3 linked regions of the Arabidopsis thaliana genome follow. The protein of the gene in region 1 interacts with the protein of each later gene in a pairwise test. Each region holds a gene or a part of one and is shown in the gene's direction. Other genes may lie near its edges.

Evidence for each region.
Region 2: the proteins of AT4G01460 (region 1) and AT5G10570 interact in a two-hybrid assay, tested with the Arabidopsis thaliana proteins (one large-scale study listed by BioGRID).
Region 3: the proteins of AT4G01460 (region 1) and AT4G29100 interact in a two-hybrid assay, tested with the Arabidopsis thaliana proteins (one large-scale study listed by BioGRID).

Annotation. Positions count from the first base shown.
Region 1 is NC_003075.7:619,013-622,772, forward strand, and holds the start of AT4G01460 (basic helix-loop-helix (bHLH) DNA-binding superfamily protein), read left to right. Parts: upstream 1-1,678; 5' UTR 1,679-1,965; exon of another isoform or gene 1,966-2,315; 5' UTR 2,316-2,321; coding exon 2,322-2,759; intron 2,760-2,860; coding exon 2,861-3,259; intron 3,260-3,574; coding exon 3,575-3,685; 3' UTR 3,686-3,760.
Region 2 is NC_003076.8:3,339,066-3,342,825, forward strand, and holds the start of AT5G10570 (basic helix-loop-helix (bHLH) DNA-binding superfamily protein), read left to right. Parts: upstream 1-2,134; 5' UTR 2,135-2,291; coding exon 2,292-2,828; intron 2,829-3,070; coding exon 3,071-3,226; intron 3,227-3,448; coding exon 3,449-3,616; intron 3,617-3,725; coding exon 3,726-3,760. Other genes in the region: AT5G10560 (Glycosyl hydrolase family protein), read right to left, coding at 1-286.
Region 3 is NC_003075.7:14,338,814-14,342,573, forward strand, and holds the start of AT4G29100 (basic helix-loop-helix (bHLH) DNA-binding superfamily protein), read left to right. Parts: upstream 1-2,151; 5' UTR 2,152-2,326; coding exon 2,327-2,655; intron 2,656-2,890; coding exon 2,891-3,269; intron 3,270-3,539; coding exon 3,540-3,620; intron 3,621-3,760.

The DNA of each region.
Region 1 (3,760 bases):
CTATAAATTGTAAAATCATATTCTACATACTTACTTTGACGATAAATAAGTGCTATTTCGGGTCTAATGTTACACGTAGGGAACTACCTAAGAAAATGTGGTTCGCGTGTCTAATGCAAACTGATTTCCATTCGAACCTATAATGGCTGAAGAAATAGCTATCCACATATGATATGTTGATAATGATATATATTATAGATATTCTTGTGTTTAGCTAAGTAATATATAAAAATTTACTCCACTTTTTTCTCAATTGGTATGTGACATGCTCTTATTGGGTGGATAATGTACTAGACAAAACTTGTAATTTTTTTTTTCTTTATCTATAATAATATAAAAACATTTTGTGTGTTATATTTTCATACATCTATTTTCCTTTCTTCATAATTCGTTTGGCCTATTTTTCAAATGTAGTCTATTCAATTTTATTAGGTTGCATGTGAGTTTTGGACTCACTTATGCATGGTACAAAATCCAAGTTCTTAAAAGACTTTGAGGTAGAATAAAAATCTGTAGTTTGGGAGAAGGAAACAAAAATAAAAAGGTAAATTTCTTTTGGGGGAGAGTACTGTTGTTTGCCCTACAGACCAAGGCACTGAAATCGAGTTGGTATTATTAGGATACTTAACGTTTGGCACCCATGGCCTTGGCCTTGGCCATGTGCATTGTTCGTCCTCTTCTTAAAGGGTACTATTGTCATTCTTAATTTTTATAGCACTAAGTCAACACACCATATTGGGAAATACTTAAAGACCCATAATGTACTTGTTCTAGCTCGATTAAAAGAGAAAAAACAAAGTAAATGAAAAGTTGAAGTAAAAGACATGAAAACCCTTTTTGGATTGGAGAAAACTAATTCTCTAAAGATAGAAAAGAAAAAGAGGAAGAAGCAAGAGAGGCTTGGTCTTCTTTTCTGATCCTGAAACTGTCTTAATAAGAGTGAGAAGTACTGTTCATGGAAGACGTGTCCCCACCAAACAAAACTGTCTTCACTGCCCTCTTCAATAATACTTTTACGGGACCCCTCCTAGTCCCAACGCACAATCTCATTGTGTCTATACAGAGTTATATTATATATATACACTTAATTTCTAATAGTTGTAGCAAAACATATGGTAAGAAAATGAAATAAATACGGTTAATATATTATTATTTTTTGGTCAAAACGGTTAATATATATGTAACACCAATGAAGCCAACATATCCAAACACAGAAGAAGATTTTTGGATGATGATTTAAACATGTATATATGTTAGTGTGAATCTTCAAAGTTTCTGTTTAAGTAGAATTATTTTTATAGATAAAGTATTTTATATGTTTTTTGGTCGAGCCAAATATCGAATTCCTTCATCAAAGTCTATCGAATTCCTTATATTTACCAAAGTAAAATTCGTTAAGAACAAAAATCAAAGAGTATTGTCCCGAAAGAAAATTATTTTGAAGGCCCAAAGAGGACAAGGTCATAAATATTTGATCTGGAGGACAGGACACCCACGTATATTTTTGTCCAAAATTTAGGTTAAAAAAAGAAGAAGAAAGGTTATCTGTTTCACGGATTAAATATTTAATTAATAATACATACATATATTACTGTATGTGTGCGTGTAAAATACTAAATATCGACGACTATATATATAACTAGATAATTTAGCTATAGTATAGTATTTTTATTTTTCACCCTTGGTTTTTTTATACATATATGCACCGAACCTCTTCTTCTTCTCTTCCTCGTCTTCTCTCCTTTTATATATGTGGAAAACTGCATTTATTAAGAACAGTTTAGAAAGTGTCAACCCCTAAAGGAATGTTTTTAGTTTAGAGGAAAGAGAGAGAAGAAGAAGCAGCAGCAGAAGTTGTTAATTTGAAGACTATTTGAGGAAAGACACCTATATCTAAATACTCAAAGTTACAAAAATATTACTTCAGAAAACAGTTCCATTAGAGAGACTCATAAAGCTTCTCATGTAAGCCTCTCTTGTAATTTATTCTCATATACAGAATACTGTTTTGTGCATTTACTCTTCTTCTTCCTCCTCCTTTCATATGATTAACATTCAATGCAAAATTCTTGTAAATTCATTTTACAATAGCTTATCCAAATTCTGCTACTTTTATTATTGTTTCCTCTCGCTGCGACATTCTTTATTTCTCATCATTTAATGTTCTCTCCTCGTACATCCTCTTTGTTCTGTCTTAAGAATTCACCTACCAAACCATTTATTTCTCATACCCACTTTAAGATTTAGTAGATTTTTGTTTTCTTGTCAAAATGGTATCCTAAAACTAATCTCTCTTGTTTTTTTCTTTGTTGAAGCTAATTATGAGTGGATTGATGAGTTTTGGTGAATTAGAAGACCAATTTGGTCAGATTTCAGACACTACTATGGAAGAGAAGATACCATTTCTGCAAATGCTTCAATGCATAGAACACCCTTTTACAACAACAGAACCAAATCAGTTTCTCCAATCACTTCTCCAGATCCAAACCCTAGAATCAAAGAGCTGTCTCACCCTTGAAACAAACATCAAAAGAGATCCGGGTCAAACAGATGACCCGGAAAAGGATCCAAGAACAGAAAACGGAGCAGTAACGGTCAAAGAAAAAAGAAAACGGAAACGTACAAGAGCTCCAAAGAACAAAGACGAAGTTGAAAACCAAAGGATGACTCACATTGCCGTCGAACGTAATCGAAGACGACAAATGAACGAACACTTAAACTCTCTCCGATCTCTCATGCCTCCTTCGTTTCTTCAACGGGTAACAAAATGTTTTAAGGGTTCATTAAACAAGAACGTAATTTTTTTTTCTTTTCAAGAACGTAATTTAGCTTTAACAAGAAAACGTTTTTGTTTCTCTAGGGTGACCAAGCTTCGATTGTAGGAGGGGCAATAGATTTCATCAAGGAACTAGAGCAACTCTTGCAATCTCTAGAAGCTGAGAAACGAAAGGATGGAACTGATGAAACTCCTAAAACGGCGTCGTGTTCTTCATCTTCGTCTCTTGCATGCACTAACTCTTCTATTTCTAGCGTGTCTACGACGTCGGAAAATGGATTTACGGCGAGATTCGGCGGTGGAGATACGACAGAAGTGGAGGCTACGGTGATACAGAACCATGTGAGCTTAAAAGTTCGGTGTAAGAGAGGAAAACGACAGATCTTAAAAGCTATTGTCTCGATTGAAGAACTAAAGCTTGCGATTCTACATCTCACTATCTCTTCTTCCTTTGACTTTGTCATCTACTCTTTCAATCTCAAGGTAATTTTCTTAATCATCTCTTAAACTATCAGTTTCAATTTCCACTAGTTTAAGCATTATTATAAATAGTCTTATGTAACTAGCAATTTTTGACTTTTTGAGGAAAATTAAGGAATCTTCATTTTGAAATGTTTGGTACTTAAGAAAATTAAAATGCATGAGAAACCATAATAGAAAATATCTACAATTATGTGTGTGTGTGTGTATTTTTTTCCTTCACTCTAAGCTTAGAAAATTTTAGTTTAATTTTTTAGTAAGTTGCTAATTTTTGTTTAGTTTTGGAGAGATGAGAAATGAATGGTGTTGTGCATGCAGATGGAAGATGGTTGTAAATTAGGATCAGCAGATGAGATAGCGACAGCCGTTCATCAGATCTTCGAGCAAATCAACGGTGAAGTCATGTGGTCAAATCTTAGTCGAACTTAGTTGACTTTTGACTCCTAGTAACGTGTGTAAACTTTAGGTTACAAAGAAAAGGGACGTGATATAAATAAGAAAAAC
Region 2 (3,760 bases), on another chromosome or scaffold:
CGGCGAGTCCGTGTAAAGACTCCGACCACCACTCGTACGGAGGAATACCGAGACGGGGTACTGAAGCAGCTGTGTTTGAGAGCTGACCTATCTTCTCTGGGAGCATGAGGAGGGAGACGAGAGAAATTGCTCGTTGTTTTATGGATAAAGAGACATTGCAGAAGGGATAAGAGCTAAAATGAGGAGGTTTACAAGGGAACTGTGGATGAGAATCGAGGTTTTTGAAGGTTTCAGCTATGGCGGAAGTGAAGAAGAGTAAGGAGATTAGAGTCAACTGAAGATTCATATTTTGGAGGAAAATAAATCTGTAGAGAAGAGTGAAAAAGGAAACTAAAAGGTATAGTTTTAAACCGAACTAAATAGACCGGTAAAATCTAAATTAACAGTTGGACCGGTTGGTTCACTGCTGTTTCTTGTTACTTGTCATTTGACGGACGGTAGAGGGGCCAAATCATTATGGGCCTTTATCTAATCGATTTATAGTAATTAATTAAGATCAGTGAACATTTATGAATTGGGGCTTTATCTAATCAAGGTCTACAATTTTTGTAGACTAATGCTTGAATAATTTTACTTTTACAAATGGGTGGGTTTCAAGTGTCTCTAGCTAGTTGACAAAAGAAAACATTAAATTTTATTTTAAAAAAATTAAAAATGATAGTATTTTAAAATTGTATATAAATTTTTTATTCACAAGGATTTAAAAATATTAATTGTAAATAACAAAAATTTTAAAACCACCAAATTTTATGTATTGTAGTTATATTAAAAGTCAGAATTATTTACTTTGGTGTAAAACTCTCTAAAATAAATGAACCGAAAACTCAAAACCCAATATTGAAACTTAACTAACAACCCCAAAATTTTCAAATATGCATCCATAGTGGCTTAGTCATGGTCACATAGCACATAATGGCTGAAGCTTATTCACGTGTTTCATCTTTTCTTATCCCTGCTTCTGCTTGCATGCATTCACCTTGAAAATTGTGTCATTTTTTTCTTATGGTTGTTACTTTATTTTATTTACTAAACCTTTGTCAACCCAACTGTTGATCCCTGGTTTTAGTTAAACCAACAATTATTAGGATAAACACATACTTTTTAAAAAAAGTCAATGGGTATCCAAGAATGATTAGTTTAGAAATTTAAATATATGAAATTTTGTTAATTTTCAATTTAAATGTTGAGAAATGAAAACAATGAATTGTCAAAGAAAAGCAACTTATATAATGCAGACAATAATGATATCCGATTGAGTAGTAAATAATGGAGTGAAGATAGAGTAGGAGACAGTGTGTGTCCACAAACTCTCACGCAACTCGCTTCTGATATAAGAAACAAATTTCTTTGACTTAAGCCTTCTTCGATCTCTTTGACCTGTCAGTCTTTTCTTTTTCCATATTAATACAATCATACACTGATACACCACAATGTAATAATTTGCGGAATTATGTCTATTAGAAGAGACACGGGTGTTTATTTTTTCCCGTAATTGATCGATATCGTCGGATACGAGTACTTTTGAAATGGCAAAAACTCACAATAATATATATCTATTCAAGATTTTTCCATGTTATTAACGTTCAGTGCCAAAAGCCTATCCAATAATAATAATAAAAAAGCAAATATGATGGCAGCTTCTCAATCTCGAAATCTAGACCATTATCTCTTACTTTTGTAAGCATCTGATTATTCATATTTGATATTTCTAATATTAAATACCATTCGTATCATATACATAAGTTGACTAAGGAAGAGAGCTAGATGATGATGTTCATTCATTTTGGCCGGGACATACTTTGTGGGTCAGATCATTTTTCCGATCAAAGAGAACGTATAAATTACTTAATATCGTCACTGAAAACGAACCATCAATAATAATACGATTCAGACAACAACACAAAAGAAAACGATATTAAGTAAAAAAAAAATTTCATCAATCTCAGCTTATGCCTCATAGGTTGGTGCTGGACCATGGATCAAAAACAAACACACTAAATTGTAATGTTTTCTAGTGGATCTCTCCTTAAACAACTAGACAAAACTACTTATTTGTATATATATTTTTAACTATTAAAATCCACTTTTTATGTAACAAACAAGTCATAAATATACATATGTCAAATGGAATAAAGTAATTCTAATCAGTTAAAAAGTGAATTCTTCATTACAATTCACACTTATGTAATGCATTTACATGCATTTGTATCTTCTTTGACCCCAAGCTCACAAACTCTGTTCACTTCCACTTTCACAAATAACAGAGTTTCAGAAAATAGAGAGAAAGAGAGATGGAAACGGAATTGACGCAATTGAGAAAACAAGAAAGCAACAATCTCAACGGCGTTAATGGAGGATTCATGGCGATTGACCAATTCGTCCCAAATGATTGGAACTTCGATTACCTCTGTTTCAACAATCTTCTCCAAGAAGACGACAACATTGATCATCCTTCTTCTTCTTCTTTGATGAATCTAATTTCTCAGCCACCTCCATTGCTTCATCAACCACCACAACCGTCGTCACCTCTTTATGATTCTCCGCCGCTCTCCTCCGCTTTCGACTATCCTTTTCTCGAGGATATCATACACTCCTCTTATTCTCCTCCTCCATTGATCCTTCCGGCTTCGCAAGAGAACACCAACAATTACTCACCATTGATGGAGGAAAGCAAGAGCTTCATAAGCATCGGAGAGACTAACAAGAAAAGGAGTAACAAGAAGCTTGAAGGTCAGCCTTCGAAGAATCTTATGGCGGAGAGACGGCGGAGGAAACGGTTAAATGACCGACTCTCCCTGCTCCGATCCATTGTCCCTAAAATCACCAAGGTCAAATTCCATAAACCTCATCCTTGTCACATGTTATATGGTTTTTATTTTTAAGTCAAGAAGAAATATTCTTCCTTTTTTGTTAAGTTCTTAACGTTACATGTATGTTTTCTTCTTGTTGAAATCTTTTTTTTGGTACACTGTTCACTGATAAAAGGTTATTGCTTTTTGTGAATCTGCATAGAGTTTGTTGTATGAGAAAATGTATATAATTTTTGATGATTATTATATAATAAAATCAGATGGATAGGACATCGATACTAGGAGATGCAATAGATTACATGAAGGAGCTTTTGGACAAGATTAACAAGTTGCAAGAAGACGAACAAGAACTTGGAAGCAACTCTCATCTAAGCACCCTCATTACAAACGAATCTATGGTCAGAAACTCCCTAAAGGTAAAAGCTAAAAACAAAACATAATGTTATTATGGTATTTGTGCTTCAGTACTCATAAGTCTTGTGTTTTTACAAATTCATCCCATTACAAATCATTTGTTACAAACACCCTCATCATATACTTGAATCAATTTGATTCCCATTAGATATCACTCAAAAAATTATAATCACTTGAAGGTGCAGACAATTTTTCTGGCTATAACGAAAACGAATCTTTTGCAGTTTGAAGTAGATCAAAGGGAAGTTAATACGCATATTGATATATGTTGTCCTACGAAACCGGGTTTGGTTGTATCAACGGTTAGTACATTGGAGACTCTAGGATTAGAGATTGAACAATGTGTCATTAGCTGCTTCAGTGACTTCTCATTGCAGGCTTCTTGTTTTGAGGTACAAATATTATTACACTTTGATTTAGCCTTACTTGGTGCATCGACAAATTAAATGTATATTCTATAATTATTTTCTGTTATATTCTGTTTTTTTCGTATATATGTAGGTTGGTGAGCAGAGATACATGGTTACTTCGGAAGC
Region 3 (3,760 bases), about 14 Mb from region 1:
TTAAAGATCTCACTTCTAGTTGTAGTCCCGGTAATAAATACGAAATATAGGATTGTATTGTATTGTATGTTTTCTGACTCGTATATTACAAGTATATGTAAGGATTTCTTGGAAATTGAAATCACTGGGAAACAGAATATTAGGGATCTCCAAACCCTAGGACATTGATTCCTTCGAGATTACTGGTCTTCTTCGTTGTAGGCAAAAAAAAATGGTATTTATTGTTAATTTGTATTTTTCTGATCATGCTTGGACAAAAAAAATGACTCGTTCAGGTTAGAATTTAAAATTAAGTGTATGCGTCATATGACACAATGCTCTCGTCATCTTGTGTCTAACAGAGTGAAATAAAGAACGAACAATTGTTTGTATACACACAAATACAATCGCACCTACATGTGCACATATTTTATTACGCTTATCTATAGAAAACTGTTTGATACATTTTTTCATTCTAAAGTAAATACACAATCCAAAAAATACTATGTCATGTTAAGAATGTTTAGTATATCTATTTATTTTAGGACAAGGAACATTTAACATATAGTAAACAGTTTTAACAAAATTTCTCTGATTTGAAATATATTTTTTATATTATCAGTAAAAAGAAAACTGTAAAGGTAATTATAGTCGTTGATTAAGATTATACTTAGTTTTTTAAAATAACATGTTTTAAAAATTTTGCAAAATAAGTTTTTTTTTTTACATGTCTCATAATTTTTGTCCTCAGTTTATGTTAAAAATATTTTGTTATTTTGATACTAACATCTTCCATACGCTGAAAACATCTTTGAGAATATTTTTCAAAACACAATATACAAAAATCCACAGTGACTTTATTCCACGATGAAATGATATCAAGACATATATGTTCTTACCTTTACCTTTCAACGAAAATGAGAGAAAAAATATATATATATAGTATCACTTTTAGAAAATGTTTTTTTTTGCTAATTAATTATTATATAAAAATGTTGAGAGCAACTTGATCATATATGTAATAAAGTCGCAGTGAAAAAAAAAATGTAATAAAGTCGCATACCGACGTTGTGACTCGTTTTTATGTAATTGATTAGTTAAGTACAGAGTTCGTTAGATGTATTTGCATTGTTACAATTACAGAAAACCCTACGCAACACAATTCAGTACTTTTTACGTCAGCAAAAATAGAATCTTTCGTTGAAAATAATACCAGAATCGTTCTTGTCTTTAATTTTCTTACCTTTTTGTAATTGGATATGATTTTTGACTATGGAATTATTATTATTTTATTCTATAAAATTATAGTTTTTATTATTGGAATCATTTATAAATGCTATTACTCAGTGTTCTTTAAAGTCCATACTAACGAATTCAAGTACTTATTTAACAAAACAAAACAAACAAATACTAATAAACTAAAAGTACAAACATTACTATGTTATTAAAAAAAGCATATAGCTGCGTGATTTTAAAGGTATATGTGACATATAATACAACGACGCCGTCGTATTTTATTGAATTTTTTTGTCACTTTTAATTAGTATACAGTGAGGAAATAAGCAAAAAGAAAGAAAAAAATATTGTTGGCTCGGCTAGTACCTATAAATAAAAACACTAGTATTTGGCCCAGGATATAATCATTGCAAGTTTAGAACTAGTTAGCTAATCTAAACCGTTAGATCAAAGAAGCAATCTTACTAATCAGAAAAACAAAATTCAACAAGTTACAAGAATGAAAAAAATAGGGATAAAAAAAAGGATAATTCATTTACATTCGATCAAAAGGCGAATGCATAGATCATAGATGCAAGACACTTGTGAGTTGTGATATAACCAAAAATTTATTTAATTATATGTAATATATATTCGAAAAATTTATACACCGTATATAAAATATTCGAATAATCCTTTTCTTTGATTTAAAAATATTTTCTGCTTGTTTTCTCAACTCATGTATTAATTTAAATAATAAAAGTAGCTACCACCTTTCTCTGCCCCACTTTAAGATAAAGCTAAAGCATGGAAAAAAGCATGGGAAAAAAGTAAATATATGATATACAATCAAATAAATCTAAAAAAATAGAAAAGAAAAATTAAAGGAACGAAAAAAAGAGGGAGGAAAAAGACAAAATTAAAAAACAAAAATAAAAATTCCAAAAAAATTAACATCACATGTTATCAAATGAGATCAAAATTTAAGTTAGTTTTGAGTTTTCTCTCTCTTTCTCTTCTCTAAAACTACTTAAGCTAAAGAATCAAACACTTCTCAACGTTTCTCCAAAGCCTCTGATTAGTAAACACATAAAGAGATCTATAGAGAGAGAGAGAGTAGAGATAAAAGGTGATGAATAGAGGTGTGTTGGAGAGTTCGCCGGTTCAGCAGCTGATGGCAGCCGGAAACCCTAATTGGTGGAACGTAAGCGGCGGCATGAGGCCACCACCACCGTTGATGGGTCATCAGCAGGCGCCGTTGCCACCACATATGACTCCTAATAACAATTATCTCCGACCACGGATGATGCCCACTCCCTTCCCGCACTTCTTGCCATCTCCGGCGACTTCTTCTTCTTCCTCTTCTTCTTCACCGTCTTTGCCTAATAACCCTAATCTCTCTTCTTGGCTTGAAAGCAATGATCTCCCTCCTGAGTCTTGGAGCCTTAGCCAACTTCTTTTGTAACTATCCCTCTATCTCTCTCCCTCTATAAATATTCCAAAATGAAATATTCTCTATACGCACATGACATGATCTTGTGTTTACTTACTAGTTCACTCTTTGTTTTCTCGTGTGTTGCTACTTAGTCCTAATTACCTTTTTGTTATACGTATATACGTATATACATGTATGTGTTTGTATTTTAAGTATCAAACAAACAATCTAATATTTTGGATATTTTCTTTGTGAACTTAGGGGTGGATTGATGATGGGAGAGGAAGAGAGATTGGAGATGATGAACCATCATAATCATCATGATGAACAACAACACCATGGTTTTCAAGGGAAGATAAGATTGGAGAATTGGGAAGAACAAGTGTTAAGCCACCAACAAGCTTCCATGGTGGCTGTTGACATCAAACAAGAGGGTAACATTAACAACAACAATGGCTATGTCATATCTTCCCCGAACTCACCTCCTAACAAATCTTGTGTTACAACAACTACCACAACAAGCCTCAATAGTAACGACGATAACATCAACAACAATAATAATATGTTGGATTTCTCTAGCAATCACAATGGTCTTCACTTGTCAGAAGGGAGACACACTCCTCCGGATCGATCCTCTGAGGTAACACTTTTTCCACATCTCAGAGATTTTGATAATATACGGAAAAAGCTCGGAAATAATATCTAGTTTTACACATAAATTAGTAAACACATCAACTACTATGAAAAAGTGAAATCTAAAACGTCATTTAAAAAGATCAGGACAACATATTTTATTTTAAGGTTTGGATCTAAATTCAACACGCAACCAGGATGAGTTTTGCTCTGAATTTTTTTTGATTAAATGACTAATTGATCTTTGTTTTGTTTGTTATCTATATATGTGATGCAGTGTAACAGCTTAGAGATTGGTGGGTCTACTAATAAGAAGCCAAGGCTCCAACCTTCTCCTTCGTCACAATCAACCCTCAAGGTAACTAATTGATTATATCAACGAAACTTTGGATAACTTATATAACGTTTTCTGTATATAAATTCCCTCCCTGACATCATACTAACAAAACAAAAACACAAACACAAAGGAGAACAGAAGAAGCAAACAAAACAGAATGG